Coturnix japonica: one gene and its partners. The protein of the gene in region 4 purifies or fractionates together with the protein of the main gene of each other region. This does not show direct contact. Links are inferred from orthologs where the notes say so. Each region holds a gene or a part of one and is shown on either strand. Other genes may lie near its edges. The genes, in order: TULP3, IFT140, WDR19 and IFT43.

What was found.
Region 1: the proteins of IFT43 (region 4) and TULP3 purify together in Homo sapiens (affinity purification with mass spectrometry; 5 studies listed by BioGRID and IntAct, counting the BioPlex papers as one, with this or other methods). This does not show direct contact. The link is inferred for Coturnix japonica from reciprocal best matches to the Homo sapiens genes IFT43 and TULP3.
Region 2: the proteins of IFT43 (region 4) and IFT140 purify together in Homo sapiens (affinity purification with mass spectrometry; 3 studies listed by BioGRID and IntAct, counting the BioPlex papers as one, with this or other methods). This does not show direct contact. The link is inferred for Coturnix japonica from reciprocal best matches to the Homo sapiens genes IFT43 and IFT140.
Region 3: the proteins of IFT43 (region 4) and WDR19 purify together in Homo sapiens (affinity purification with mass spectrometry; 3 studies listed by BioGRID and IntAct, counting the BioPlex papers as one, with this or other methods). This does not show direct contact. The link is inferred for Coturnix japonica from reciprocal best matches to the Homo sapiens genes IFT43 and WDR19.

The regions. Positions count from the first base shown.
Region 1 is NC_029516.1:68,387,245-68,395,358, reverse strand, and holds the start of TULP3 (tubby-related protein 3), read left to right. Parts: upstream 1-3,024; 5' UTR 3,025-3,242; coding exon 3,243-3,283; intron 3,284-5,828; coding exon 5,829-5,880; intron 5,881-8,114. Other genes in the region: RHNO1 (RAD9, HUS1, RAD1-interacting nuclear orphan protein 1), read left to right, coding at 568-735, 2,148-2,789. UniProt on the Homo sapiens protein: Negative regulator of the Shh signaling transduction pathway: recruited to primary cilia via association with the IFT complex A (IFT-A) and is required for recruitment of G protein-coupled receptor GPR161 to cilia, a promoter of PKA-dependent basal repression machinery in Shh signaling.
Region 2 is NC_029529.1:11,986,157-11,993,108, forward strand, and holds the end of IFT140 (intraflagellar transport protein 140 homolog), read left to right. Parts: intron 1-900; coding exon 901-1,078; intron 1,079-2,355; coding exon 2,356-2,546; intron 2,547-2,655; coding exon 2,656-2,751; intron 2,752-3,101; coding exon 3,102-3,234; intron 3,235-3,323; coding exon 3,324-3,467; intron 3,468-3,864; coding exon 3,865-3,993; intron 3,994-4,200; coding exon 4,201-4,383; intron 4,384-4,620; coding exon 4,621-4,827; intron 4,828-5,029; coding exon 5,030-5,242; intron 5,243-5,325; coding exon 5,326-5,492; intron 5,493-5,824; coding exon 5,825-5,966; intron 5,967-6,141; coding exon 6,142-6,345; 3' UTR 6,346-6,585; downstream 6,586-6,952. UniProt on the Homo sapiens protein: Component of the IFT complex A (IFT-A), a complex required for retrograde ciliary transport and entry into cilia of G protein-coupled receptors (GPCRs).
Region 3 is NC_029519.1:62,619,079-62,626,239, forward strand, and holds the end of WDR19 (WD repeat-containing protein 19), read right to left. Parts: intron 7,117-7,161; coding exon 6,966-7,116; intron 6,849-6,965; coding exon 6,725-6,848; intron 6,312-6,724; exon of another isoform or gene 5,471-6,311; coding exon 5,394-5,470; exon of another isoform or gene 4,991-5,393; coding exon 4,876-4,990; 3' UTR 4,870-4,875; exon of another isoform or gene 3,986-4,869; coding exon of another isoform or gene 3,890-3,985; exon of another isoform or gene 3,411-3,889; coding exon of another isoform or gene 3,219-3,410; intron 3,143-3,218; 3' UTR 2,782-3,142; downstream 1-2,781. UniProt on the Homo sapiens protein: As component of the IFT complex A (IFT-A), a complex required for retrograde ciliary transport and entry into cilia of G protein-coupled receptors (GPCRs), it is involved in cilia function and/or assembly.
Region 4 is NC_029520.1:34,928,729-34,936,282, reverse strand, and holds the end of IFT43 (intraflagellar transport protein 43 homolog), read right to left. Parts: intron 5,860-7,554; coding exon 5,787-5,859; intron 4,381-5,786; coding exon 4,305-4,380; intron 3,959-4,304; coding exon 3,896-3,958; intron 3,176-3,895; coding exon 3,065-3,175; 3' UTR 412-3,064; downstream 1-411. UniProt on the Homo sapiens protein: As a component of IFT complex A (IFT-A), a complex required for retrograde ciliary transport and entry into cilia of G protein-coupled receptors (GPCRs), it is involved in ciliogenesis.

The DNA of each region.
Region 1 (8,114 bases), on a different chromosome or scaffold from region 4:
TGCATGGTATTTTCTCACCAGTGTCAATCTGCTTCTACATGGAAAAATATCCTCGTACCATGAATATGCATGTATTCCCCTGATAAATAGAGATGTTTACCTCCTTTTGGTGTGCAGGCTAGGAAGGAGTTAACCCCCTGCACCCAGCCAGCCAAGTAACACGTACCTGCTCTACAACTACTTTGTGTTATAAAGTTTGTTATGCAACTCAGTGTGGCTGTTTACCATCACATGTTTGGTTGTGCCTTCATGAAGCTTTGAAGCACTTAATTACTCATTCTACTATATATATATATATATATATATATATGCTAAATCTGCCTGGAATCTGATAAAAGATATAAAAACTACTGGTAGGTAACAGTCTATATGGAGATCTGCATGTTATTGTACTAGTGTTTTGTTCAAAGTCTTTATCTGAGGTTTCTAAATAATTGTTCAAGTCCATTTCCTTTTATTTATTTTCTACAGATTTGAGGGTGCTTGAGCATCAAAGTGCTTTCCTCCTCCTCCAATTGGTACTAGTGAGCATCATGAGGTTTCAAAGCGGTTTTATCTTATTGTCTGATGCCTCCCAAAAAGAACCGTACCCGGAAGACTAGAAAGGCAGAGCTGGTATTCATTGAGAGTCAGTGGGAGGCACCCATCCGTTGCTGTGAAACTCCACTGTGTGTGGCTGAAAATCCAGTATGTGTTTCTACAAAGCCTGTAGACCACAACACCTTTGCTGCCTGGGTTGGTATACGTTATCAGTTTCTCTGTGTCTTGCAAAAACAGGTTTTTAAGTTTCTCTCACATCTCAACAGAAAGTTTTGTATCCTGATAATGAAAATCAACAGCATGGACCTGAATTCATTATAGATGCCTAAAGCATAAATAAGTGCATATGAGTTTTTTTATGTTCAAATATAAAAAATAAAATCCTGGGTATTTGAAGGCATAAAACTATAGTGTATACAGACTGTGGTTTCTATTTGTCTTCTGAAAATCTAATTCTGGTGAGGAAGAAGCTTTCTTTCTATGGCAATTGAAAGATTTACCATGTAATTTTTATATATAGGTAAGTTAGTGCTATGGCTTCTGAAATGCTGCATGAAAGAATTGCTGTGATAAAGTGTGCTTTTTGTTTGGAAGAGCTTCAAATAACCACGTTGTCCTTTGTTCTAAATATCCAGTGATTTCTCTGAAGTCAATAGCACTGAAGCTATTAGATGTTAGAACATACTGGTAGGTTTACAACTCCCTGAACTGTTCTCTATGGATGGATATCACTTGGTTTCACTGGCAACTGAGTTCCTACTCAGATTGAGGTTTCTGCTCTTTCAGACCCTCTTGACTGTTAGGCTCCTGGTAAAGCCTATGTGCTATGTTCTCTGAAAAGGAAGTCCAGGTCAGTTGTTCACTTGTGTACAGTTTGTGCTAGGATACAATTACTGGAAACATGAGCCATGATTGTCTAAAGAATGGCTTTGGTTCAGTCAGTTCAGGTGTACAGTATATAGTCAGTACCCATAATTAGCTTGCACTTAGTTTTTGAGGGAATGTGTAGAAACCTGAGAAGGCTAAAAGGGGTTTGTGGTTGTCATAATGATATCCAGGTTGGGATGCTCTAGGACTGTTTTGACTGACTTTTGAAACCCCAGAAGATAAAGACTACTGTAAAAAGAAGGATTTGCAAGTCTTGAGTAAGTGCCCAAAGTCTTTCAATGAAGTATAGGTTATTGAGCTTTGACAGAAAGCTGATTTTAGTAGAATTGACTTTGTGGTCATCTGTTAATCTTTGTGTTGTAGAGTAACTGTTTGAGGAAAGCATGTTTTGGGGGAATATTTTGAAGGCCTAATGAACATTATCTTCATATTACTCCCATTTGTAGCTATAGTTGCTCAGGAATATTTGGGCCATAATAGTTCACTTGTACTCCACTCGCTTATCAAAGTGATAGAACAGAACTTTGAAGTTCAGAGGTGTTTCCTGCTTACCAGCTTGGATAACAACTAGTTTGCTTTGCTGCAGGCCAGCTTACCCATTTAATCAACACACTGAGGAAAGATGGGATGGGTGGGGGAGTAGAATAAGGTTGGTGTTCCTCTGGAGAAAAATACCATTTTGGTTTTTTGTTTTTTTTTTTTTCTTCTTATGTCTTCAGGTGTGCCCCCAATTTGAAACAACTAAGTCATTGGTTCTGAGAGTGTGTCAGAAGAAGCAACGTGGTTCTCACAAGCCTCAGAATCAGGATGCCAGCTCTGGCTTGCTTCATGCAGAGAGAGCTTGTCGGAGATCTGTGGCCTGCAAATTTCCTCCTTTAAATTTTGAGAATTCAGAAGAACGTGCAGTCCGCTCCACGGATGTGCTGAGTCACGCAGGAAAGAACACACAGCATTCTCACGGCCAGTGCAAGAAAGGGATAGGATCAAAAGCCAACATCCAGGTGAATGGTACTGAGAACTATAGTGAAACACCATCATTACCTGTTTCTCAGCCTACAGAGCCAGAAGTCTTCAGTCCACTAGATATGGGGATGCCACAGTTGCCTTCTTTAAAGAACTGGACAGGTAGCAGCGTTCTGCCACAAAGCAGTAGTTGTGCTGAGTTGGTGTCCAGTGTCAACCACTGTGGGAGCGAGCAATTGGCAGCAACACTGGTTACGGATACTCCTGAGCGTGACTATGGAATAAAGGTGACCTGGAGACATCGGCCTCATCTCCTTAAGTACCTGAGAGACAGAGGGAAGCTGAGCACTGCTGACATACTGGTGAAGGCAGACCTTGAACTCAAGAAGCCAGGCTGACTTTTGGTTTGGCAAAACAGCCATTTCACACACAATATAAATATGGTCTAATACAAACACAGAAAGTCCTTGAAAAGAGCAAAGAGGGGTAATAAACGAAGCCATACATTGTGCTGGGGCATCTTAGTTCTATTGGGAAGTGGTAGCGACGCGTAGGATGCACTTTATTCTCAGGGGGGGAGTGGTGTGATTTTACTTTTGACTGAGCTTCCTCGCAGGGGCTGTGGGAGGGCGGTAAGTGCAATAAGCCTCCACATCCACCCGCCATGATAACTGTGGAGGCGGGGCTCGGCGCTGACCTGGCTGCCTCTATGCGCATGTTCGGCTCGAGTTCTCAGCTGAGGGGAGCAGCGGCCCGCTTGGGCCAATGGCGCAGGGCCGGAGTTACGAGTTCCGTCTCCAAGGGTAGCGGTGAGATCGAAACCAGGTCCCGTAGTAAAGGCGGGGCTGAAGATGGAGGGTGCCAGGAGCCGATGCGCGATCGGTGGGGGCAGGTGAGTGGGGCCCAGCGGGGCAGGGAGGTTGCGAAGCGATTTGCGGCGAGTCCCTCCTCAGGCTGACCCTGAGCCTCGGTTTCCCTACCACGGTTCCAGACTTTGATTGAAGCAGCGTCTTCGGGAGCGAAACGACTGTGGAGGCTTTTTTTGTGTGTTACCTCGTGCTTCTAATCATAATTAAGCATTTGGGATGTGAAAACGGTAGCGAGCTCTTAGGCCACTGCATGTGGGGGGTGGGGGGAACGCAACTGATGGGAACTTAACTGACGTAATGGGAAAAGCACGTTAAGTTTGGGAGAGAGATTTTGGGAAGAGATTCTGCCCGTGGGTTTGAATAGCTGAAACCACAAATGACTGAGAATTCAGTGTGATGTACAGTGAAGAGAGATTTTGGTGATTAATGTGATGAATGATTTTGGAAATGCAGGAAAAGAACTGTTTTCTATCCAAGCATCAGAGGGTACGTGATGGGAATGCCAGTAAAGAGAGAAACAAAGAATTGTGTAACGTTTCTTGGTTGCAGTGATGAATGTAAGAATACTAAAATGCACAAACCTGAATAAATGTACGTAATTCCTAAGTAGATTTTTAAGACCATTAAGTAGATTCTTAAGACCATTTGTAGAGTCTTAAGAAAGCTATATGTGAGAATCAGATGGTCAGTATATATGTATTTTTTCTTTCTGAAATGAAATTTTCTTGCTATTCAGCGATATGTAATAGATATTGAGACATAAATAATTTTATTTGATGGACAGGCAGGTGAGATTTTGGGTTAAGGCCATTTCTAAGTAGGCTCTAATACTGTGGTGTTGTATTAACTTCTTCTCTGCCAATGTTATCTTTCATTTACGATGGCTGTAATTAAAGTAGCTTGAGATCATATTGAAGTCTGACATTCATCTAGATTTTCTTTAAGCACTAAGGTGCATCATTATGTTTATAGTGTTATTTCATTACTTTGATAAATGCTACGTGTTTCCTTTTCATTTGGGACAGTCTGACATTAAAAGTGTTGGATAGTGGTGTATGATGGGCAGCAGAGTTCAATTGGTTTGTGGTATTGGGTCATAGTCAGTTATCCCCACGGTTCCCTTCCACTCCTGGATATTGTATTGTTTGATGTCTTTATAGTATGAGAAAGCTCTCTGTTGGTAGACTTGGACTGGGATTGCTTCAGTCTCTCAATGGGACACAGTTGGACAGTCTACACAGTTATATTGTTGATTGTGTTGTAATTGGGTCATGGTATGAATGCTCCTGTGAATGCATTTGCTGACATGCCTAGAAGTGTTTTCTTAGTCCACTGCAAGAACTTTTATCCATACTTCTGTTGTTTAAAACATAAAATCGATGGGATGTCATCCAAAAGCTTGTGTCTCATCGTTCATACTCCCCATTCCCATTAAATATTCTTATGTGAAATTCCAGGCAAAAATAGAACAAGAATCTGGATTTACTAACTGCATATCCTAGTTCAGGATGGAAATCACATTTTGCTGTTTCATTCTTATCAATAGCTTCCCATTCAAACTTCTAAAAAACAAAACAAAAAAAGCTGGATATAGACTGAAACTGAAACTCCACACTGAGCTCTAGAATGTTAATTCATATATATTTTTTCATTTATTTCCTTCATTTTTAGTTAGACATACTATAAAAACAAGTGCAGTTCGGCATGAAGAGCGATAAACTTCATAGAAGTTTTGCTGTCTACCTGAGTTAGTGATTTTGTGCCATTTAACTGGTTTAATTTCTGTTTATCTTGTGGTCTCCAGAACCCAAACAGGCACAATCACAGAGACAGCAAAGGTTTGAAGGAGCCTCTGGACATCATCTCGTCCAACCCTGCTGCTCCATAGGGTCAGCTGGAACAGGTTGCATAGGGGGATGTCTGCTCAGTTGTTGAGTATCTCTACAAAAGGTTATTCCACAGCCTTGATATGCAGTTTGTTCCAATGTTGACTGACCCACAATAAAAAAGCATTTTCTTGTGTTTTTTTTATGTTTTAAACTGTGCCCGCTGTCTCTCTTTCTGACAGTAGGCACTAGTGGTTCCATCTTTATGCCTTGTCATGGGGTGTTTATATACCTTGTTCAGCCTGCAGCAGAGATGGTTCCATGAAGATCTTACCACTCTCAGCTCTCTGAACTCATATGAGAGATGCTCCAGTCGCTCAGTAATCTCTGTGACCCTTTGCTGGACTTGCATATTTTCCTGGGGGCCCAATAGTGGCCACAGCATTGGCTAATAATAATAATACATCATAATTTGTAGCAAAAGCCTTTGAGTAATGAAAGCTTTTTGCTTACAAAATGTTTTCAGAGAATTTTAGTTCAGTGACTGAATCACCGGTCCTGTTTGTGACAGAAAATGAAGTATGTTTCTTTCATAATGCCTTATTACTTGGTCTTCCCATGGGCTAGAAATAGTGTTTTACAGTTGGAGCCTTGACAACTATGTTGCAGTCTGTGGATGTCGTGTTTTTATATAATGCAAACTAATTTCTGGTAATAATTTTTTGTCTCTTGCCTTTTCCAGCATCTTTGAGGATGAAGGCATGAAACTACGACAGCTGAAACTAGAGAATCAGGTCAGTGGTTGTGCATTAACTGGCAAAAATAAATGAAGGAAAACAAACATTAGCCATCTTATTTTAGAAAGGAAAGTTAAAGTGCTTGTTTTCCCTTTCTTTCCCTTCTTCTCCATTCCCATTTTTCCTCTTGATTACCTGTCCTCTTTTCATTTACTTCATAATTTGTTGCTCAGAACTACATAAGGTATACAGCAATCACGAATATAGGCCACACTGTTCAGTTTCTGTTGTGATATTCAAGGCTGCAGGTGGATTCACAGTGTCACAGAGGCTTGAGAAGTGTGGAAGTGATTAAAAATGGTCTGAAGAATACAAGCAGAACCGATTGCTAATGTTTTTCGTTTAAGTTCTGCCTGACTCTTGTTAGATAGCTTGTATTTATTGTATTTATTGTATTTATTGTGAAATCAATAAAGTGTACATCCTCTAAAATTTCAAGTGCTTATTTAAAAGTTAGAAATTATGGGATAATTATAATTATCTAGCTGTCCATTTCACGTGGAATGGAGTTCACTGAATTACGTTATAGATTAAATTCATGAAGGTAGAACATGAAGCTGTGTTGAAATTAAAGTATAGTTTTTAGAAATTCTGTCTCTCATCTGAGGATCTTTTAAGTTAAGACATAACACTTTTCAGGGAACTGATGCATCAGTTAATAACCCTCTTTACCAAAACTTGTTTGTTATTTCTAGTCTGAGCTTATATTGCGCTGAGTCTAGACAGATTCATTATTGTCTTGACCTCCGTGCTTATATGGACACTTATTTAACGCACTTCAGAGTTAAATAACTATCTTTTACACAAGTAGCACCATGCTTTGTGAAACAATAAAGGTCAATAGCAGATCACAGCCAGACATAATGGCTTCATTACTGTTTGTAGCAGATACCACGCTTAAGAAATTTCTCCTAAACATTTAGAGGAACTGAGGTAAAAATTGCAGAATGTCTTTGTGAAATACAACAGGATTGTGTTCAGCATCTTTGAGCACATGGAGAATCTAGAGTAAGCCTTTGATGTATCAAGGGCTTGTGTCTCTCATCCATCGTTATGATGGATTTCAAACCATATAATTTTAGTTAAGTATTGTTTATAATCTGTGGGTCACATCTGTCTGCCCCAAAGCTTTTGCCTATTGTACTTCCTTGAGAAGAGTGTGGATGGCTTCTCAGGCAGTGCTTAGTTCCTCGGCAGTAGAACAGTATCTTTTGAGGTACCTGTAGCTCAACCTGTACTGCTGCTATCTCTCTGTGGATGGAGAAGGTAAAAACTGAAGGCTTGTTTCTGAATGCATTTAATACAATATTAGTCTTGACACTGAAGTTTTATTAATGCCATAATCACTTGCATTTGTCCCCGCCATCTTACTGTGAACTAAAGAGGAGCTGAAAGAAAAGGAGCCTCAGAAATCCATGCCTTGTGGTCTACTAAGGTAGACTACATCAAGTAATAAATAGTGCATTGCACCTTCAAGAAGAGTGATTGAAGCCTTGTTGTGCACCATCTTCTTGTTCATTACAGTGATAGGAAGAATGATGTGGAATACCAACAGCAAAAATTACAAAACCTGTTATTTAATGAGTTTTTAATGAGTTAAACGTTCTTGTGTCATGTGATTTTTTTTTATTATTTTTTTTTGTAATTCTATGTGAAATTTTACTGTGACACGGGGCTGGAGAAAAATGTGGTTAGTAGATGGAAGCGTGTTTTTTTAAACTTGCCCTTAGTGGAACAAGTCTAAGGACATGCTGTGCTGAAGGTAAGGCTGCTGTGCCACCTTGTGTAAAGAGAAAGAGTTGCGACCAACCATCACACCCATGAGCTTGTAAATTTTCTTCTTAATAAACAAAGCTTTGGAGAGAAACCTAATGACTGTCAAGTTTCATCACTTTGGTTACCTTTAAGTTCTTGTGAAAAAGTTTGTCATATTCACTAGCAGTGAAGTATGTTTTAATATGCTTTAAAAAATCTAATCTTGTAGAATAAACAGTAAAGTAACTTCAAAAATTATTATGTTCTATACTGATCCCAGTTTCAGTTTCCAGTTCTAACTGTAGCTATGTACTTCCTTACTGTTTTTAGGATGTGTTTATTCTTCACCTGTCCGTTTGCTGGGTACAGAAGCCTCGGCAACATTTTTTTCTCAAATCTTTTTTTTTTTTTTTTTTTTTAAATATATTTGTGTTTTCCATTCTCCTTTTATGTCAACTATTAAAGATTTAGACAAT
Region 2 (6,952 bases), on a different chromosome or scaffold from region 4:
GTGACCTAAATGTCCCTTAAAGGTGCTTTTCCTGCTGTCCCCTGTTCTGGGTATAGGCAGTGGCTCGCTTAAAAGGAAAAAGAACAATTAGTGCTTTATGAAAATGAAAATGGCTCCATCTTGTGCTGGTGGAAATGGGCATTTCATGCTGCATGGAGGTGCATCGTAGGTTTACGCTCAGGATGTAGCACTGAATTTCCAGTTCTGACATTCCTGCGTTCTGTTTCCATGTTCCTTTTGGCATTTGTGTCTGGAAGGGACTCGGATATATCAGCACAGAACCTGAGGAGGCCATGTTTGAACTGCAGTCAGCATGTTTTTCCCTCCTGTACTGACTGGATGTGCTTGACAGCACGTTGCGTCTCATCTCCTTTTGCTGCTTCCCGGTTAGTCAGTTTCCCCTGTTTGTGCAGGTCTTTCCCACAGCCACTGGGAAGAGAAAAACATTTTAATCATAGGAAAACATGATTGTCAGCCCCCCACCCCCAAAGTGGAAGGGGATTTGTTTGCAGGTGCAGGACCTGAGGTGTCATTCCACTCTTCAAAAAAGAAGAAAAATAGAAAACTTTTTTTTTTTTTCCCTGCTTTCATCATCTGGGTCCTTAATTTGCGTCATGTTGGTGCCTGGGAGCTGCGTGGGCCTCCACTGAGCCCTATTTTGAATGCAAATGTTTTGTTAACCAAACATGTGGATCTTCAGCTCCAGTGCTACCTTTATGTCTGAGAACTGCTTCTATTCTCCTTAAATCTTCATGGAACAACCAGAGTCTGTTTATGTCTGATAAGTGTGGAACTTGCTAATGCATTGTCCTTTCTTGCTCCTTGCCTCTTACCTGCTCAATACCCACTCCTTGATGCTGATACCATAACAGCTCTCCCCTTCTTTCTGCTTTATCACAGTGAGGCTGTCTGGGAGAACATGGCTCGCATGTGTGTGAAGACTCAGAGACTTGATGTTGCCAAAATTTGCCTCGGAAACATGGGTCATGCCAGAGGAGCCAGAGCATTAAGGGAGGCAGAACAGGAACCTGAGCAGGAAGCCAGAGTGGCTGTGCTGGCAGTTCAGCTGGGCATGCTGGTAAGCCTGTCAATCATCTGCATCCTAGAACTAGGATCTATAGTTCTTAGTCCCAGGCAAATGAGGACAGAAATGGTGACACACCCCACAGTTCACAGATCACCAATTAGACACAAAGTGCTGTGACAGCAGAAAATCTGCTGGGGCCTCTGAGGAGACGCTGCATCCCGGGGCTGTGATGGCTTTCATCTGTGTGTTTGTTGCAGCTGCAGCTGGAACGTTGCCTTCCACCTCTTCTCATTACCAGAAAAAAATGTTGATGAACTGGAAGTTCAGAGAATCAGGGCAAACTGTTCAGCTCTTGGAAGGATTTTCAAGGCTGGAAGGGCTAGAATTCAGCAATCTGCAGCCATTTTAAGAGTCTAAATGCCAGAGAGGTAGTGGAACTATCCTTAATTAAAGTAAGAGGGGAAAAAGGGAACGTTTGAACTAGATGTTTGGAGAAGCTTCCTGGCAGAGGCAGCTGTGAGGCTGAGAAGTGGCAATGCTCCATCCTCTGGATACTGGCATCTGTTTGGAGAGGTGGAGGGGAGCTGTACAAGGCAGATGCTGCTCTGTGGGTTTATTCACTCGCAGTGCCAACAATTTCCATCTTCCCTTTCTATGCTTTTAGAATTTGAAAGAGACAGAAACTATTTTTCTATCCTGGACGGATAATCTCCATTTACTAAATATAGTGTTCATCTGGACAGCAGTTGGGTGGGGCAGGAAAATGCTCCTTCCACAGGAGAACCTCTCAAAAATAATAGTTCCAAATTTGCTTATCCTTGCGTCAATACAGGCAAAATCCTCCTGATCTGCTTCTGTCTGACATGAATAGTGTCATTGCCAGGACTGGCTCTCAGTTATCCGAGGAAGAGTTCCTACGTCTGAGACCTGCTCTGAGGTCCCTCCGACCTCACATCACTTCTGGGCTGTGTGGCCATTCAGTGCAGCCCCATACGAGGATACCTCCCCTTTCTGAAGTGATTCACGCTCGTGGTGACAGTGTTTAATTGTTGATGTCTTGCTTGTGTCACCCCCCGGTTGATACTGTACAGTAAATGCAGGATCTGAATGCTTTCCTTATTTTCACATAAACATCCTGCTTCCCAGTAACGTGCAATTCCAGGTTAAGTGTATTAGTTGGTTAACCCTCCTGCCTGAATTATTGTTACACTAATTGCATTACCTGCATAACTAAAATACTCATTAGTGCAGTGCCTGCTGTGACCTGCTTGGATGGACACCTATAAAACCAGTGGAGCCAACGAGCTGCTTGTATCCTCTCCTTTCAGGAGGATGCAGAGCAACTGTACAAGGCTTGCAAGCGCTACGACCTTCTGAATAAGTTCTATCAGGCCACAAACCAGTGGCAAAAAGCCATTGAAACAGCCGAGGCTCATGACCGGGTTCACCTGCGCACCACTTACTACAGCTACGCCAAGCACCTGGAGGCAGTGGGGGATCACGCTCTTGCACTCAGCCAGTAAGCATCAGCTTATGGCAGAACTGTGTTTGGGGGGGGGGATTTTTTAGACAATGAAGTGAGATTTAAGTCAGTCATTTCACATCTGATATGTTCTGTTTGTCCACAGCTATGAGAAGTCAGATACACACAGGTTTGAGGTACCCCGAATGCTGTCTGATGACCTACAGGCTCTGGAGAACTACGTCAACAAGATGAAAGACAAGTCAGTGCTGTGCTCATTCCTTCTGAGTGGGACTTTCAGGTTGAGATACAGGCTGTGAGGAGGGCAGGGAAGGAGAAGTAGTGATCCTCTCCTCTGAGTTCAACACTTGCCTAATGCCTTTTCATCCCCCCTCAGCTTTTCAGGATCATGGCACAATTCACTCAAAATTGCCATATTGGATATTTAGGTTGAGCTCATAGTGCAGGTCTTTGAATATCACCCTTGTGTTTAGGTAAAACCTGTCTACGTTCCAAGAAAATACATCTGGTCTTGAGTTCAAGATCTCCAGGGCTGAGAAATGCATTCTCTGGTAATTCCAGCTGCTGCAATTAATACTGTTGCTTTTCTAGGAGCCTGTGGAAATGGTGGGCACAATACCTGGAGAGCCAGTCAGATTTGGAATCTGCATTACAATACTATGCACTGGCTCAGGATTATTTTTCCCTAGTCCGTGTCCACTGTTTTCAGGGCAACATTCAGAAGGTAACGCAGCCTGCTGCCATTTGTTTGCAGAGTTCTCATTCCTAGGATGAGTTTGGTCACAGTGTAAAGATATGCCATTTCCTTTCCAGGCTGCTGAAATAGCAAATGAAACAGGAAACTGGGCGGCTTCGTACCACTTGGCCCGTCAGTACGAGAGTCAGGATGAAATCAAGCAGGCCGTGCACTTCTACACCAGGGCCCAGGCATTTAACAACGCCATTCGCCTGTGTAAGGTATGGAAAGACACACATTGCTACATCCAAACCTGAAGCAGGATTCTGCCCTTAGGCAGCGTACAGAGTGAAACAGGTACAAGAGATCCGTTCTCGTTCTCTTTGTGAGATATTGCTTGTTCATGAAGACGGTCCAGTTTCTGCCCACATCTTCTACAAGGATTGATCATTACAAGGGGTTGCATGGAACTGAGTATTTCCTTTTCCTACATGTCAACAGAAAACTGCCTAAAACAGTCACTGTTGCAGCTCAAAGCCCTAGGAGTTGCTATGGGTTTTCCATAGGAGGTGGTTGATGGGCTACTATGTGACAGCACAAAGCCGAAAGCTTGAAAGGAGGCAAGCTCGTCAGGTCAGTTTGCTGCAGACCTCAACCCAAATCTTTGCTTTTCAACAGGAGAACAATTTAGATGATCAGCTGATGAACCTGGCTCTCCTGAGCTCTCCAGAAGACATGATAGAGGCAGCCTGCTATTATGAGGAGAAGGGGGAGCAAATGGACCGAGCTGTCATGTTGTACCACAAGGTAAATGCCTCATTAGTAAGAATAGCAAACTTTAAACTGACGCTGTTTCTACGGCAGAGGAGCATTTAATTAACGGTGTGGTTTGATTATGTACAATTATCAGTCATTTCTTCACAGTAACACTCTGTGAACCCACACTGGGGTGTCTGGGAAATTCATTCTGCAATGCTTATTCCAGTCCTTAAAGCCTCGTCCTTAATTTTACAGGCAGGACACTTCTCCAAAGCACTGGAGCTGGCCTTTGCCACGCAGCAGTTTGGAGCCTTACAGCTCATTGCTGAAGACCTCGATGAGAAGTCAGACCCAGCTCTGCTGGCTCGCTGCTCTGATTTTTTTATTGAACATGCTCAGTATGAGAAGGCAGTGGAGCTGCTGCTCACAGCCAAAAAGGTGAGTTCTGCCTTCCTGCTCCCCGTGTGCACCAACAGAGAGGAGCACAACAGGTGTGCACATAAATACACTCACATCTCTCTTTGTTCATAAGCACCTACACAAAAACATTTGTAAGCTTTAAGGTTTCTTTTCAGAATGACAGGGTGGCAGCTAAGTTCTAAAAGTTACACCACAGACAACGTGACATCACACTGCAATGCATGCAACTGCTCATTGCTTTCTCATTTCCATTAGTACCATGAAGCTCTGCAGCTTTGCCTGAAGCAGAACCTGACCATCACAGAGGAGATGGCTGAGCGGATGACGGTCTGCAAGGACTCCAAGGACCTTTCTGAGGAGTCCCGGAGGGAACTCCTGGAGCAAATAGCAGATTGCTGCATGAGACAAGGCAACTACCACATGGCAACCAAGAAGTACACGCAAGCTGGAAACAAGTTAAAGGTCAGCTGGGAGAGGTAGAAAAAACAGCTAAAGAGGCTGAGCCACTTAACTCTATATGGTTTTTCCCCTAGAGTGGTTTGAGGGAGGTCTTGGAACAGTCAGTACATTGCCCAGATGAGGCTTTCCAACCATTTCAGCATCATTTGATTTTTGCATTCACAATATTTCCTCTCTCTGTCCTCCCACCCCCATCCACTGTTAGGCTATGAAGGCACTGCTGAGATCTGGAGACACAGAGAAAATCGTCTTCTTTGCGGGAGTCTCCAGACAGAGAGAGATTTACATCATGGCAGCCAACTACCTGCAGTCACTGGATTGGCGTAAAGACCCAGAGATTATGAAGAACATCATCAGCTTCTATACCAAAGGGAGAGCCCTGGATCTGTTGGCGGGATTCTATGATGTGTGCGCTCAGGTACAACCAGCTTCTGTGATCCCTCAAGGTGTTCAGTTGTTTGCTATGGACTAAGAGCCTCATCTGAATCTCTCTTCCTGCAGGTGGAAATTGATGAGTATCAGAATTATGAGAAAGCACAGGGAGCACTGACAGAAGCATATAAGTGTCTTTCAAAAGCAAAGACCAAAAGCCCTCTGGAACAGGAAAGCAAACTAGCACATCTGCAAAGCAAGATGGCCCTGATAAAGCGATTCATCCACGCTCGGAGGTGAGTTGCAGTGTTTGGAGCATGCAGACTAATGACAAAGATATCATGCACGAGGAAGACATTCACAGTTCAATAAATCACATGCAGAAGTCTCACTTCTATAAGTGTTTGTTATATTTTTGTAGCAGGGAACCACAGGTGATTTTAAAAGTGATGTTGGCTTTCGAGACCAAAGTATAGACTGAAATATGAGTAACTGTTGGCCTGGGAAGCACAGCCATCTTTTGTTGGATGATTCTGAGACATGCACAGCACAAAAATCCTTCCCGTGCTTCTCATGGCAAAACTAAATGTCCTCCAACATGTGATTTTTCTGTTTGCTCTTTTGCCAGGGTTTACTCTGAGGATCCCAAAGAAGCCATCAGACAGTGCGAACTGCTCCTGGCTGAACAGGACCTTGACAGCACCATCCGGCAGGGGGACATCCTGGGATTCCTGGTTGAACATTATTTACAGGTGCAGGAATTCCATGTGGTAAGTTACATTTCAGTTCTTACATGCTGAAGAGCCCAAACTTTATGTACACCTTTATGTACACCAGAACACTCTGTCAACTGAAGATCTCAGCCAGGCATTGAGGATGGAAGCTTGTCCCCCTTTTGCTGGGAGCTCTGGAAGCGCTGTAGGTGATTTCTGTGCTTTCCTTTAGGCTTACCAGTACCTGGAGCAGATGCGGAAGATAATTCCATGCACAAACCTGACTTACTACATCAAGCAGCAGACGATTGAGGCGGTTCACCGAGGAGCAGGCATTCCCATCAGCCAGGCCTTGGTTCCAGAGCAAAGTCAGTACAGCGATGTGGAGAACAAGGATGTGGAAGAAGAAGTGGTTGATGAAGTGGAAGGCCCCTGACACCTCACAACGGCAACACGACTGACCTGAGCGCTGCTCCTTTACTCTGTGCTCTTCAGGGCTCACAGATCAGGCAGCTGCTGCCACAAACTTTTTGGTTATTACCAAGACATTTATTTTTTTCTGCTTGACTCTACAAGCAACAGTGTCCAAGTGGTGGATGATTTTAAACGCTGCGTACAAGTAGCAGACTGAACCCAGCCTGGAATCAACCTCAGCTTTTGTATTTTAATAAAGAAAGAAAAAAAGCTGCGCAGTGTCAGTTCAGGTCTTGTTTGAGGAGCTGAGGGTTTGTCAGCCTGAATTCTCGGCTGCAGGTGCCAACGTTACTTCTCTTTCCTTAGACAGCAAAAGGGGCCAGGAACTTGGGCAAGAGTCAAACTACTGCCCTTGTCCTGCAGGCTCCCCCCTCAAAGCTTTATTTAAATATTATAGGGCCATCCAGACAAGAAAGCTGGATATGCCTCCGAATTGTAGAGGGGCTGAGTTTGGAAGAGACCCCTGGATGTCATCTGGTCCTGCAGCCCACCTGTCTCTGAGCAGGGTCACCTACAGCCAGCAGAGCTCCTCACTGCTCTGTACAAGTTGCATTTTAGAACTGAAGTTT
Region 3 (7,161 bases), on a different chromosome or scaffold from region 4:
TAGGTTTTGCATAACCTCAATATGTGGTGTGCAAAAGATAAATCATTGACTTACGATGAGGCCAAAGCAGACGCCAGCAGAGCCAAAAAGGATATCAAACTGGTATGTGTAAAATATGGGCTGGCTGCTATTGTGATGTTCCAGAGCAATACTGGGCTTTGTAAGCATCTTCTGAAGGAAGGCACTGAGAGCCTAAATGTGTGAGGTGCTGTCAAGTGTTTTGAGTACACGTCAGTCTCGCCACAAGTAGTGGGACAGCAGATAATCCAGCACTGACTTGCAAGTTTTGACGTGCCGTATAAGTAAGATGCTCACTTCATCTCAGCCTTCTCACTTTGACTGCTGTCTTTAGGAGGAGATTCTTTTAATCTTGGAACTCAGTTCTCAGAACTGGCAAAGCACCACTGAAAAGGCACATATAAAAGTGCAGTACTGGACACTGAGCTGGTGCTGAATCCAGATATTGCTGCGTACAGTCGCTGTAGTGATTCTCTTGACTGTGTGCTGAGTGTTTGTTTGCCTTGCAACCCACTTCTTGAAATACCTTTATCCTTTAGGGCCCTTTCGATGTTGTCCGGAAGGTTTTTGCTGCTGGAGAGGAGGCTTCTCGAATGTCTCTTCTTCCATGACTATTCCCTAGCACCCCTATTTGTCCAGGAGAACTATGTGCATGTGAAACCTGCTGCTGCTGGGTGAGTTATTCCAGACCCTGAATCCATGGTGAACTTTGTGAGGAGGAAGGTTAAGATTAAAACCTGCTTGTATATATTTTGCTGTGTACTAAGATCAATTTTTTCCCCCCCAGAGGAGATCTGAAGAAACACTTGATGCTCTTGAGTAGAGCTGCTGATAGTATATGTGATGGTGATCTGGTGGACAAACAGATTCGTACCAAGCAAAACTGGAACCTTCTACCAACACAGGTGAGAACTCAGCTCTCATTTCATGTGCACCCCGGTGTGGGGGCAGTGTGTGAGACTCAAACCTCATAATGTCAGTGCATTCATGACCTATTATAGAGTAGAGCAGCTTGCTATAGAGCACACAGATGACCCCGTGCTGTATCATGGAACAGTCTTCTGAAGCACTGAAAAAACTTAGAACCTGCTTTATAAACTGTGGGAACATCTAAAGCGATGTCAGTACTCGTGTGGCACCAGGTTACTGGTCTTTATTGGTGCATAAAGGACCACGACTGGCATCAGAAAATGTACTGTACAAGTTGGAAGGGGCCTCTGCCTAACTGTGGTTATATGGCTTTGTAATATAAATCTGTTAGCAGCCGTGTGCTTTTCATGTGTTTCCTGTACTGTGTCCACCTGGAGATGATGGTCCTTGTTTGTGTGACATCAGCTGTCTGTGTGACTGCACCCCACACTGGGGAAACAGAGCATTTAAAAAGAAAAAAGGTTCTTAACAACTCAGCACTTGGCAGCTATTTTACCCCATGATAACACACAGGGTGGTACAGGAGCTGAAGCTGTAACCTAAAAGGGATAAACAGCAACAAGCAGCCCACATTGTCTTAAGTTGAGCTGTTGGTGCTGTGGGGTTATCCGTATTCACTCACCTGCTTTCAGTGAAACGGGTAGCACGTGTGTGTGTCATTGAGACTAAATCCATTCTGTTCTAACTAAGTTTTGTGTGTGTGTGTTATTTTTTCAGGCTATTTATTCAAGTGTTCTTCCTGGGGAGCTGATGAGAGGTTACATGTCCCAGTTCCCCGTCTTTCCCAGCTGGCTGGGGAAATTCTCATCCACGGGCAAACACGAGCGTATCATCCAAGAGCTGGCGATGCACATGAGCCTCAGGTAGTACTGACACTTGGTGCGCATCAATAGAGACAACTCGTTCTGTAGCTCGTTACCTGCCAGTAGTGCTGTGCTGTCCTTGGTACAATCCTAAATGTATATTCTAGGAATATCCTCATAGATTGTTGGTGATGCTTTTGCGTCACTGTTCTGGACAGCAGTCAGACTGAGGACACTTCTAATATGGTGGTGGTACCGTCTGTTTGTGATCTTTTTCTTCCTTTTTTAAGTTAGGGTTGTGTTTCCCCAAACACTCTGGTTTTTGAGTGCTGGATACTTTGCACCAGGTTTTCCCTTATGCAGGTGTGACAAAATAAATGGTACAACTCAGCTTGTGGTTAACTCCTAAGGCAGCTGAGCATCTATTTGCTGAGTGAGGCTGTTTGGAAAAGAGCTGAGTAGAGCTGTACAGATTAACTTCTCACTTTCAATCTGACAAAGAACCCAGGCGTGCAAGAGGACAGTCAATGTGGAATATTTGTCCCATCTGCGCGATGTATTCATCCGGCCACTGCGGGACTTTGGAGCAGATGGTGTACAGGATGCTGTAGCGTTCCTGGACTCTTACTGCCTGATGAAAGAAGACATTGACAACATAATGGAAATAAGTATGTGGGGAGGGAAACCCAGCCCTTTTTCCAAGCTGGATCCCAAGGTAAGATTCACTACTGAATTTTTTCCTTATCTCACATCTTTTGTAAGGAAATCTTACAATGATAGTTATGGTTTGGACATGCTGCTGAAGATGCAAATGCATCGTCTTATTAACTCTAATATAATTGAACACGGAAATCCATAGCAGTTCATCCGGCAAGGCAGCCCGCTAAGGGATGTAGCCTTACTTGTTTTAGAAGTAGGATGAGTGCGGGTGTCCAGCCCTGTGCCTTGGGCTGCATCCAGTGAAGAGGCCTCATCTTGGCCACGTGCAAAATACATAATGCAGGTAACATATGTAAGTAACAATACTTACTGTACTTGTAAAAATATTTTTATTAAGACATTAAGATAAAAAAGGACAACAAAAACATAAAACCAGTGGGATAGTTGATCTTAGTGAAATGAATGTATTCTCAGTGAGCTCTCAGTGTGTCTGTCAGATGCTGGGTGAATGTTACCCTTCCTCGTACTGCGTCCTTGATGGCAGCTGTTCACAAATGACGTAGTGCCACAATAGATGACTGATTGGAGTAAGGCGTGATTTCTCAAGTGAGGGACAGTTTCCTCTGGTACAACTTCTTATACAAAGTCTTCTTATAAAAGTCTAGTGAAGAAAAGACTTTGGAGTTGAATGTCTGATTGCAGCTCTGTCCAGTTGTAGATTTGCAGGTCAGCTGAAAATGAAGTTGTAAATACACAAATAAACTGGTTAGTTAATTTGACGCTCTGTGCTTCCTTCCCACCTAACAGGTCAAAGCAGCTTTTACACGGGCCTACAACAAAGAGGCGCATCTGACTCCATATTCCCTTCATTCTGTGAAGACGTCCAGACGGCAGCCAGGATCCATGGGGACCTCTGAGCTGAATGAAGAACTGGGAGTGGAAGAGCCCCCGTCTGATGAGGACGAGCAGGATACTGTTGAAAGCGATGCCATGATCAAGGTGCTTTGGCTTCCTTGGTATTACACCACCACTCTGAACTTTTTTCTTTCTATGTTCACTTTCTAGGACTTGTAACATCAGAATCAAAAACCAAAGCCAGAGTAGATGCTGAATGCATCACCTTGTCAGTTCTTGACCAGCAGTACTATCAGAAATACTCATTTATTTTCATTTGTTTTTTTTCTGCTTGACTGTTGGACCAGTGAGACCTCTCCATAACGTGTTAAATAATGTATATAACAAAAGTGTTGGCCACGTCCTTACAGAGCAGCCAGCACTTCCCTGCAGCTGCTGCTAAAAGTGACAGTGCTGTAGAGTCTGTATTCCATCACTCTTCAAAGTGCGATTCCTGAAAGGGGAGAGGCTCTTCCCCCCACTCCCCTTTTCTTTTCCTTTGCTTTTTAATTCACTGCATTTGACTTATGCCTTTCCCCAGGTTACTGCTGGATTTCTAAACTCTCCCTGTACTCTCTTTGTAGCAAAAAAAGATGAAGTCTTCCAAGCTGCCAAAAAGAGAGAAAAACGAAGAAACAACAAAAAAAGAAGGTAAAAGAAAAGAGAAAACAAGACATTAAACAGAATAACCTTGCTCTGTCTGTAGCTTTGGTTATTTAACTTGTCAGGAACGTGACACAGATCTGGTGATGTGGAACCAGTGTGTTGAAAACGCTCCTCTGACAGAGGTGCCGTAGCTCCCGTTCTCACACTGGGCAGTGCTGCGTTACAGCCGTAACTAGTGCTGTACAACAAGCAGGGTGCATGGACACGGCGCAGATGGGATGCGTGGTTACCTGGTGTTTATGCACGTCTTCACATGACTTTTTAAATAAATCCTCTGTTATTATGTACTGAAATCTTGTAAATAGCAAATCCTAATCTGCATATTTGTACATTATAGCAATTAAGCAGTGTATAGAATTACAATAAAATGTGTTTCGCGTGAGGTTTTTATTTTTGCTTAAGCTCACAGGGTGTTCTGTCTTCCTGCATCTATCAGGCTCTGTTTTTTTTTCTTAACTGGCCCCACAGCCATAGAAAAGCAAAGCAGAGCAGAGAGGGATTTTGTTCCACAATTTGAAATGTTTTAAGTTCTATAGCTGCAATCAAAGCCAGAACAGAATACCTAAAAAGTTACAAAGTTTAACAGAAACTGAAGCAATGGAAGCACAGAGCAGATGTTGAATATGAGAACATTCATGGCCTGGTTGGTGCAAATGAAGTTAAGCAAAACCTGTATGCGTAAGGGCAAGTAAATGTTACATCTGCTCCTCAGCTACCTGAGAGATCGAGATGCAGCTTTGTAAGTTAAGTTAAACTCTCCAACACTGAACTTTCCTTGCTGGGAAACACTGCTGCAGCCTTCCCCAATGAGCCCTGATATCTAATGAATAAAACAAAAACCCCACACCCTCAGCAACTCAACCCAGAGAGCCCTGCAAAAGCAGGTTCTAACACATACCTGAACTTAACCATCCGTGTCATCTTGTTTGAGGTACTGTGTGCAGTCGTTCATTTTCTTAAGCTGAGCGGTGTTGATTCTTTCAGAACACATTGGGCAGATGTTTTCAACCTGTAACATGCTGTTTTAAAGCAAGAGGGGCAACGGGTCAAAGGACGGTTGGGCCTGAGAGTAACATACACAGTGTAAGAGAGGCTGGAGCAGCAGCTGTTTCTGTCTAGGGGGGGGAAAAGGTGAGTTGTGTGTTTAGTTTTTGTAGCCATTTGCTAACCCCAGAAGTAAGGCTGCTCTGCTGAGTGGGCATGAGGAAAAGGCAGCAGACTACAACCAGCACAGATGGCACTGGAACACAGGGCGTTTCTAAGTGATGAATGCTTTGTTAGTCTGCACCCAGTGCCAGGTGCAAACTCCTATTCCGGTGGCTGCTGTTGGGCTGGTTCAATTGGAAGTGACACTCTATAAGTATGTATATTAGATGGAACGAATGCTGCAACCCTTCAATAGAAGAAAAAATCCCAGCTTACTTCTTGAATTCTGAATAGAGGGCTGGAAAGTCACAGTGTGGGCAGACGGTCCAGTCATCCTGTACCATGTGTCGGCCCTGCACACAAGAGGAAGCAGTCATTCAAGGGCAGGCGCTCCCCAATGCTTCACCTGGCAGTTCAGTTACTGTGGAAAAAGTCTCAGCAATGGAGTTCTAAAGCTGTTAACGAATGAAGAAACCCACATGGTTACAGTGTTACTTTGCTTACCGTGTAAATTCTGTGACTAGAAGAGAAGCTCTCACTGGGAAAGAAGGTTTTCCCTATGACGTGTATTTATTTTTGTAACTTTAAGAATGAAATTAATTATCACTTTACAAATGATTTCAGTCAGGGCAATTCTACGCTGCCCCTGTAGGGAAGTGCTTAGAAAGAGAGTGGTGTAAATGTACTGAGATTATTGGTGGTGCGTAAGGTTCAAAAATGGCAGCGAGGGGCTGCGGCTGTCAGTCAGTCAGTGAACACAGCAGGAGAGCTGAAACAGCTTCTTTTTCTTCTTATTTGGTTTCTCATTTGATTCTGATGCAGAAAGTTGTTAGGTACCATGGTCACCATTGTAAAGCCCAACAGTGCCTTGATGTGCGTTTAACACATCAATGTTGTACATCATTGTTAACACATCTATGCTGTAACACATTAGGCAGCAGTGGATTGTTTTGATGCTTTCCAAGGGTATGATGAGAAAAACGCTGCAGTCCTGGTGATGTAAGTGAGTGTGATGGTGTGAAGGAACCAGAGCCAAGAGACAGCTTAAATACGTGGAACAGAAATGAAAAGGCATGCACATAGAGCACAGTGTTCTGCTAAGCCAGTGGAGAAAAAACAGTTTAAAAAGCTATTACTATTTTTTGTAAGAATGATCCTTTAGTTTTAATATTAAAATTAAAGCATGTTCACTAACTCTGTTGTTTGTTTCCTGCTTTAGAAAATCTGTTCTTATTCTGTAATGTGACAAATCCCTTCAATCAGTCAAATGTTTGTGGACAGGAGCTGAGTGCAGCATTAGGACTTTATGGAGGTGAGCTGCATGGCCCTCTCACTGGGCAATGTACTGCGGCCCTTTCCAACAGGCTGTAAGGAGTCCTGAAACAAAAACAGTGGGGCTTCTCATTTATGTCAGGATCACTAACACCAAAACCAGAACTGACCCAGGACTTAACATGGGAAGTGCCCCAGAGGTCTGGGTGTCACTGACTTGCCAACAGCTCGGAAAGAACAGCCAAGCCTTGGCCTGACTCTGGCAGCCAACTGAAGATAGGAATAAAGAAGCAGCGGCTTTGTGTTCATTCTTCCAGTGTAGAATTGGGACTCACCGTTGCGATGCAGTAGGGCAAGTTGTTTTTACACCTGGGACATAGGAGCTCGCACTCTGGGAGCTGGAATGCACAGTAGGGACAGGCTGTTGTTGGCTCCTCCGCCTCGGCTTTGTCTGGGTGCCTGGCAGGAAGATACACATGTGAATAAGAGCTCAAGCTCTTTGACCTTGAACAGGGATCTTCTACAGTGCTTTTGATGCCTGGCCAGTGTTTGGAAGCACAGAGGAACACTGCTCACCTGACCATTGCTTCAATTTTCTTCTTGTATTTAAGATCGATCTTATTTCGATTCTCAGGTCGCATCAGCACAGCAGCAAAAGTGAAGGCTGAGTTCTTCAGTCCTGCTCGGTGACACTCAATTACTGTTGAAGTCAAAATTGGTACAATGTCTGCAACAAAATGAACCAACAGCAATGTTTACTTACTAATATTAC
Region 4 (7,554 bases):
GACACAAGATTTCCACTATCTTCAGACAGAAGGCTGGGAACAAAAGCGCTATCTAGGTCTATAAGTACTGTATTTGGATTAGGAACTTGAAGGCACACTATTACACATTACTTTACCCCTCTATGACACGAGTCTACGGACACTAAGGTGCCTCAAAGGATGGCTATATAGCCTTCCTCACCAAGAGCTAGAAAAGGCACTTACATGCTTCCTTTCAGCAGGGACAGTAACAGGAGCAGATTCCAATGTGACATCACCAGGGACTGATGGCAGGAGGGCACAGCTCAGACACCTCCCAGCACCGCAGCCAGGCAGGCAGTAGGAAGGGCTAACTGAGGAAGGCCGAGAACCAGACAGCTCTCCTTCCTTCCTCCAGCTGGGGAGGGAATGGGAAAGATGTGGAAACAAGTCTCACTCTATTAACTTTATTGAAGAAAATTAAAGAGACTACTTGTTCACAGTGCACATAAATACCTGAGCAAGTAGAAAGTATCTGACAGCATGGTTTAACAGGGAAGGTGAAAGCATAACCAGGTGCAAGGAATAGAAGATGAAACAAAAACAGAGCTTAGAAATAAAGCAGATTTTGAACCACAAGGGCAGTTGTCTGCTGGGATAACTAACCAGGGAGAAGACAGGTGAAGCTCAGCCACATCGCATCGAGATCTGCCATGGCCTGTTTCATAGCAGGTCAAACTACACATCCAAGCACCTCATCTTTCCTTTTCTCCAGCCTCTTCATCAGCACCTGCTTTGCCCTCAGTCCCTCCAAACATTATACATACTGTTCCCAAATCATTCACCCTCCTCATTCCTCTTGCCCCTCCCACAAACCCCACTGTGACATCAAGTCCCCTCCTCCCCACACCCTGCCTTAAATGGTGTCCACATGCCCTCCACACTCCTACCTGTCACCATCTCCAGAAAGATCTCTGAGCATCCAATGTCCCTTCCGCTTCTGTTTCAAGGGTCTCCTTCCTCTTGGCTCCTGAAGGTCCAGCGCGGTCTCTGAGGGGCTGAGCACTGATGCCCAGACCAGAGATGCCTGTCCTTTCTCCCTGCTAGGACGGCAGCCAGCCAGGAGCACTTTACCTACCCAGGGAGATGGGTGAAGTCCTTAGAGGCAGACAGTGCTCTGCCCTCCTGGACAAGAGACAAGACTGTTGGCATGGCATACAGCTTCATGAGGAGCAATGGGCTGAGCACTGCCTCTACAGCTCACATCCTGCAGGCTGCCTAAATAATGCCTGGTTTTCCTCTCTTAGAGCTCCAATTGTCAGTAATGCCACCTCACTAAGTACCTAAATAAACTCCAACACACGTCACATATCAAACCTCAGGCTGGACAGCCAGATTAGTTGGATTCATAGCTCATCCACTCTTGTGCCTCAAGCCTGGGAATCCTCAGCTTTTGTGGTCATTGATAACTGGCTGGCATGCACTGAATACCGTGATACCAGGCAAGCAGCTTAGAGGATACTCAGCTCAAGCAGAATGGAGAGAGCTCACACTAAGCTGACTACAGACTGTATTTGAGAGAAGAGAGCCTCGGCTTTTTCTATGATCTTTGGGATGTGAACTGTGCAAATCTAACCCTAAGCCTAATCAATTTCTTCCACTCTTTACCATTCTCTTCCCCACACAGCCTTGTTGGGATTGTCTGATTTACTAAGCTTGCTGAATTTGTTTTCTCCTTCTTGGACTATAGGAAGAATCCTAAATTCTCTTTGGCCAAGGGCCACAGATATCAGAGAAGAACAGACACTGGCCCAGCTGGGAAGTTTCTGTTCATACCAAAACAGGTTTCTCTGCTCAGAAAGAGACTTCAGCGGTATCCTCCATACACTAGCCCCAAGGCTTCCATCTCATCTACTTTTCTAGTTACGGGGGAGATTCCTTGATTTTACAAACATAGCATCTCATTGAGGCAGCTTCTTCTCTCTTGCTGGTAGATTTTTTTTTTGGCTATCAACTCTGATCAGAAATTTTGCAGAGTACTGAGTTCACAGTGAGTCGTTTCTCCTGGACTTGCATCAGTACAAAAGAAAGAATGCAGTGCTCCATTAGATCTAAAGAACAAGCTAAGAAAAGCAGCACATCAAGCCTTCTGCACAGCACCTGCACTGTCCCCCAGAAGTATATAGCACGGTTCTCCTGTGGGACAAGGCTTTGAAGGACACTGGCTTAGAAGTAATACTATTGTTTCCTGCAAATAATGACCACAGCTCTATGGGGATAGGGCATTAACAGCTAAACGGAGTTTTTTTTAGGTGACAATGAGAACAGGTTACTTGCTTCCAAGGAAACACGCCAGGGAGTTAGCTTGTTTCAGAGCAGCAGGCTTCATTTTTTCACATGTGGAATGAGCAGTATTTTCTTTGCAAACCACCTATTGCCTGGAGCTAATTCCATTCAATATGTGATCTCATCTAACTGTTGAAGCTAAGCAGGGTTAGGCTTGGTCAGCCCTTGACTGGGATAACTCCAGGGAAAACAAAAGGTGCTGCAAGAAGCAGTAGTGGCAGTTTAGTTGGTGATGCTGCTTCCTCTGAGGCAATACAGAGGTAAGGACCCAGGGCAAATGTTAAACCAGCAAGGGATGGCAGGAGGCTGATGGACAAGATGTAACGCAGACATCCTGACAACTTGTGGCATCTGTTGTGGGAAGATGATAACCTTGATGTTCTAGGCAAACAAACTGCACCAACCTAAGCTTCTCTCACAGCCATCACTGAAAACCACACTCCATTCTTTGACTGTGTAAGACAGTCTTCCCAGAGAGACTGACCATAGCAGTTATCTGTAAAGGTGCTAAAGTAAGGTGACAGTGACTGTTCATAAGTAAATAATATATTGTGCTTCTAATTCTTAATCTCTTTTGAGAATGAAGAGTCTTAGTATAAAATATCCAAAACTTCCCCCAAGCCAGTTTTCCTACAGACCAAGTTCTATTTATTTCCATGTCTGAAATATATTCTCAAATACAAACAAGTAAATAGAAAATTAAAGTGCTAAACTATTTACAGGGAATGTGTACATGAGAGATATCAGGTGTATCAGTGCTCTAGGGTACACTGAGGTGGTCCTCTCTCTCAGACTGTCCCACGTCCCACTCAGTTACTAGTTCTGAGGATACCTCTGTGAAGAGATGGTCCCAATCCCAGCAGACATCATCCTATCAAGAGGAAAAAGACAAACATGCTGAAAATTTAACTGATAACTCCCAGAGGTCTCTGAATGATGTCCCTGCCAGAGAGGAAGGCACAGATTTTGTTGACTAGGATAGGAAACTTAGAGAGAACGGAATGTGAATCTGTGTTACAATTTAAAGATTTTGGAAGAAATAATCATTCCAAATTCAGTAAAGCCCACACTGTTAACCTTAGGTGTTCCCAAGAAGGGCATAAGGAGACATAAAAATCTTCCACTCTTTTAATGAAGCACCTGCTGTTCTGGGATGTAGAAATCTTTTGTTTCAAGTCCTGAGCTACTGCTTATACATTTGTACTGAGGTTCTTCTGCCCTGCTTTAGAACAGCCTTCTGTCCTAACCCTAAATGTTTTCTTTGCTCCCCTGTAGCACTCTGCAGAACCATCTGGAGCCCATGGTGGCTACCAAAAACTACACAAAGCAGCAGTTTGTGCATGGATCTGTGACAGCACTAGGCCCTTCACTAACTCTTTCAAACTGAAGGAAGCCAGTCACAGCAATGCTGTAATCTCACACACAGAAATACCTACAAACTTTTAAAATAATCTGCTGGGGAAATCAGACCTCCATCAGCTTGAAAACAAGCTCCTCTTCATAGGCTCCTCCTCAAGTATCTTTCTTCCACCCCACCAACAAAAGCTTACTTTCTAAGTACAGTCTGAGACATAAGAAGCTTTTAACTCACCTCCCGTAGTTCATGTTCTGGAGCCAAGACTTTGGTGAGAAGCTTCAGGTCAACCTCTCCATCCTAAGAACACACACAATCACAGTCTTACAGACACAGAGAAAGCAGGCACCATCATTTCACCAGAGAGGATGTTGCTAGAGACAGACACAACATTTTGCCCCATACATGACATAGACCTTCTTCAGGACAGCAGCAGGTACCTCCTCATATGAACAACAGGCACTATATACACACACACTATTTCCAGATGCTCATTAGGCTGAAAGGAAAATATTTGCAGGCAGACTGGAAGGTGCTTGCATGACAGGGCAATGTATTTTATGCAGCTGAGTATCACTGTGGAGGACAATGGAAAACTGGAAGGAAAGGAACTTACACCCGTCACTCCACACCAACATCCACTTACCAGAGTCTGAAAGGCAGCATACTTTGTAAGATCTTTGTCCAAGTCATGGTAGGTCATCACTCTGTTCACCTGCACACTGCAAACAGAAACGGGCAAAACAGAACCCCGGTAAGTGTGGAAGCACAGCAGATGAGACACACAGTGACTTAAGCAGTAGTGTGTGGACACACAACTCAAGTATCCACACTGGATGATGAGGATATTGAAATGGTTGTCCAAGAACAGAAGCACATCTCATTCAGCACATTAAGAGGCACTGACGAATCTGAGAGCCAGGCTGATCGCATGTGTAAAAATAGGATATGGAGCAACCAGGGACTCCTTCAGAGAAGTTGGCATGCCAGAGAGAAGATCCGTGAGCCACATGCAAGGGCCAGAAAGAAAACAGGAAGGCAATGAACATGCAATCAGCCCAGATACAGATACACTCAGCAGGTAACAGCCAAAATGCCACTCCTATCTGGGAAGCAAAGCACATTCAAGAGTCCCACAATGCAAACTATAGAACAGTGAAGACTTTGCAGTTTCCATCTCTGAGCTGAATTTCAGCTATCAAATGCAATTTCTTAAAATGTAGGCTCCAAAGATGAGCAGAGGTAGGGGGGGAACGTACTGCCCTGCCATACTTCCCTTTGCATGTTACGCAGTACTACAGGGAACATTTGTATTCATTTATCTTCTATGTATGCCCACGAAAATTATTTGTCTTCTATTGCAGAGTGACTATCGATACAGGGAGAACAGATGGGATTATACAAAAAAGAGAAAACAAAAAACCAAACTCTGGTGAGAGACAAAATCTTTTTTAATTTACTGCTATGACACGTCATTTATTTTTATTAACAGCTATTTAGTTACGACACCTACTCCATACTTGCAAGAAAGGCATCTGTGGTCATCCAAACAAAGGTCAACAGAAATCCCACTCTGTGATCTTTGCAATAGATCCAACAGGAGTAACGACTTAAAAGTATCAAGAAAATTAACTCCAACACTTTCAGTTTTTAAAATGTACTACTAAATGGTCTCCTACGAGCTAATCCCAAGACTACTGTGATACACCTACAGATCGTATTGTGCTTTGCAAATTAACTAAGCCCTTGAGTGAAAAGGATATCCTGTGGAGGGCGAAGCAGAGTGCAATCAAAGTGTGTGTGATAATACACGTGTACTGGAGGCATTTGTCACACAGGCAACCTTAAATCAAGCAACACCTAACTTTTCAGAGTTTGATTTTTCAATATCAAAAGTGATGCTCTAATGTAGATTTTGTGTATACAGAGAGAAAATGCATTAATTGCTGTCTCTATGTAACAGGAAACAAATTTGCACTGTTCAGCCTGGAGCCCCACTGTCACAATGTGCAGCATCGAATCCTGCTGAATGGTGCTGCCACTGACATCCACAGGGCATGAGATAAGATGGAGTTTAATTTCACCGCACATTTCACATGGCCGATGTGAGCCACAAGAGCACTCTTACCTGGGGGGAGCTGCCACTTGCATGGCCAGATCTTCCTCCTGGACTTCCTCTAAGTCAGGGATCACAGGAATATCTGTAGTAAAAGAAAGCAGCATTTGAAGACAACCTCGAAGCCAAAAGAATCTGGCTGTCATCTGAAGACTGGTAAGAATTTTCTTCCTATGAGATATGTTGTTCATTACTCAGCTCCGCTCAGCCACCCAGAATCTGCTAGAAATGAGGTGTGAAGCATACAATGGCAGAAGCCATGTGAATGAATCTGCATGCTGAAGGAGCTGCTGGCTGGGTTGCAGACTGAGCAGAGGCTGTGACCTTCCGCGTGGCTGAAGGAGGAAGTGCTGGTGGTCCAGCTGACACTAAGATGAGGGAGGATGCACTAAGCTGTAATGTCATAAATGTTTTCGTGTCTTTCCAGAGTGAGCCCGGAATGGCCAATAGATGTCACTAGATATTCCCAGCATGATGATTATGGTTACTCCACCTACAAAGGGTACTTAGAGGGAAAAAAAGAAAATGGAGGAAAGCAGGAGAAACTGGGAGCACACTGCATCCTGCTAAAAACCTGTGAGATGCTGTGTCCTCAGATGGCGGAGATGCCAGTGGTTGGCTCTGGGAAGAAGCTTCACAAGCACAAGGTGGGATCAGAGCTGGCCCTCTAGTGCTGGAGCAGGCAGGCTGCTCCTGCCTCTGCCAGCAGCACAGCAGGCAGCTGGGCCTGACTCTGCCTAGCTTTGCAGCCCAGGCTGAGATGAATATTCAGGAGCTGGAGAGATGTCCCCACCTGTGGCGGCCAAGGCTCCGGGCAGGGTCTTGCTGAAGAGCCCCTTGTCCGGCTGCCTGTCAGAGCTCCGCAGCCTCTCAGCTGCCCTCTCTGCCCAGCATCCCCTCAGCATCCCTGGGGCTTACCAGCTGCTAGGGCTAGAGCAGCCCTGGCCCAGCTGTGGGAGGACAGGGGTCAGCACGGGCCTCAGTGCGGCGGTCGTTCGGTGCTGGCCACACAGTGGGATTTCTCACTAATTGGCTGCCTGGCGGAGGGCTGAGTGGGATGGCGGCTGCAGCAAGAGCCAGGCCAAGGCGAGCGGAGGTGACAGCTTGGATGATCTCAGCAGAGCTGTGCCTTCAAGCTCCCCAGCTGCCTGAGGAACAGGTGCCTGCAAAGCAGCTCTCTGACTACGGCAAACTTCTCAAAGACATATAAAGGAAAATTGCAGCAACAGGCCCTCAGGATGTCCCTTAGAGGGCAAGAAATGACTCACCAGCGTGTTCCTGTACCTTTAGGATATATCTGCCCCCACTCTGCATGTAGGGACAAGAGCCAGGAGAACCTGCTGTCCTGCTGGCTCTTCTATGCAGGAGCTCCCAGCCCAGGGTAAAGCTCCTAATAAGATGCAATCACAGAGTAACAGCATCTCTGTGGACAGACTGACCTGTGGAGAGAACTGCCCAGTGACAATGTGGGAGAAAGTCCCTGTACATAAGTAGCAAAGACCAAGGAGGAAACAGACTGTGGAGGCTATACAACAGGAGGAACAAAGCACTGCACAGAGGTACCCTGCCAGGCTTTTGCTTCTGTTTATTTCTTTTTGCACTAGAGAATACCATAAACTTAGTGCTGCACTTTCCTTTTGTGCAGGTTTCCAAAGAGTCCTGGATTTGCCAGTGCTGGCTTTATCTCACTGCCATTAAATTTCATGGAGAGATTCCCAAACTCCTTGCAGAACGCTGCCTCTACTCTGTATTACCATCATGAAGGCAATCGCATAGAAGT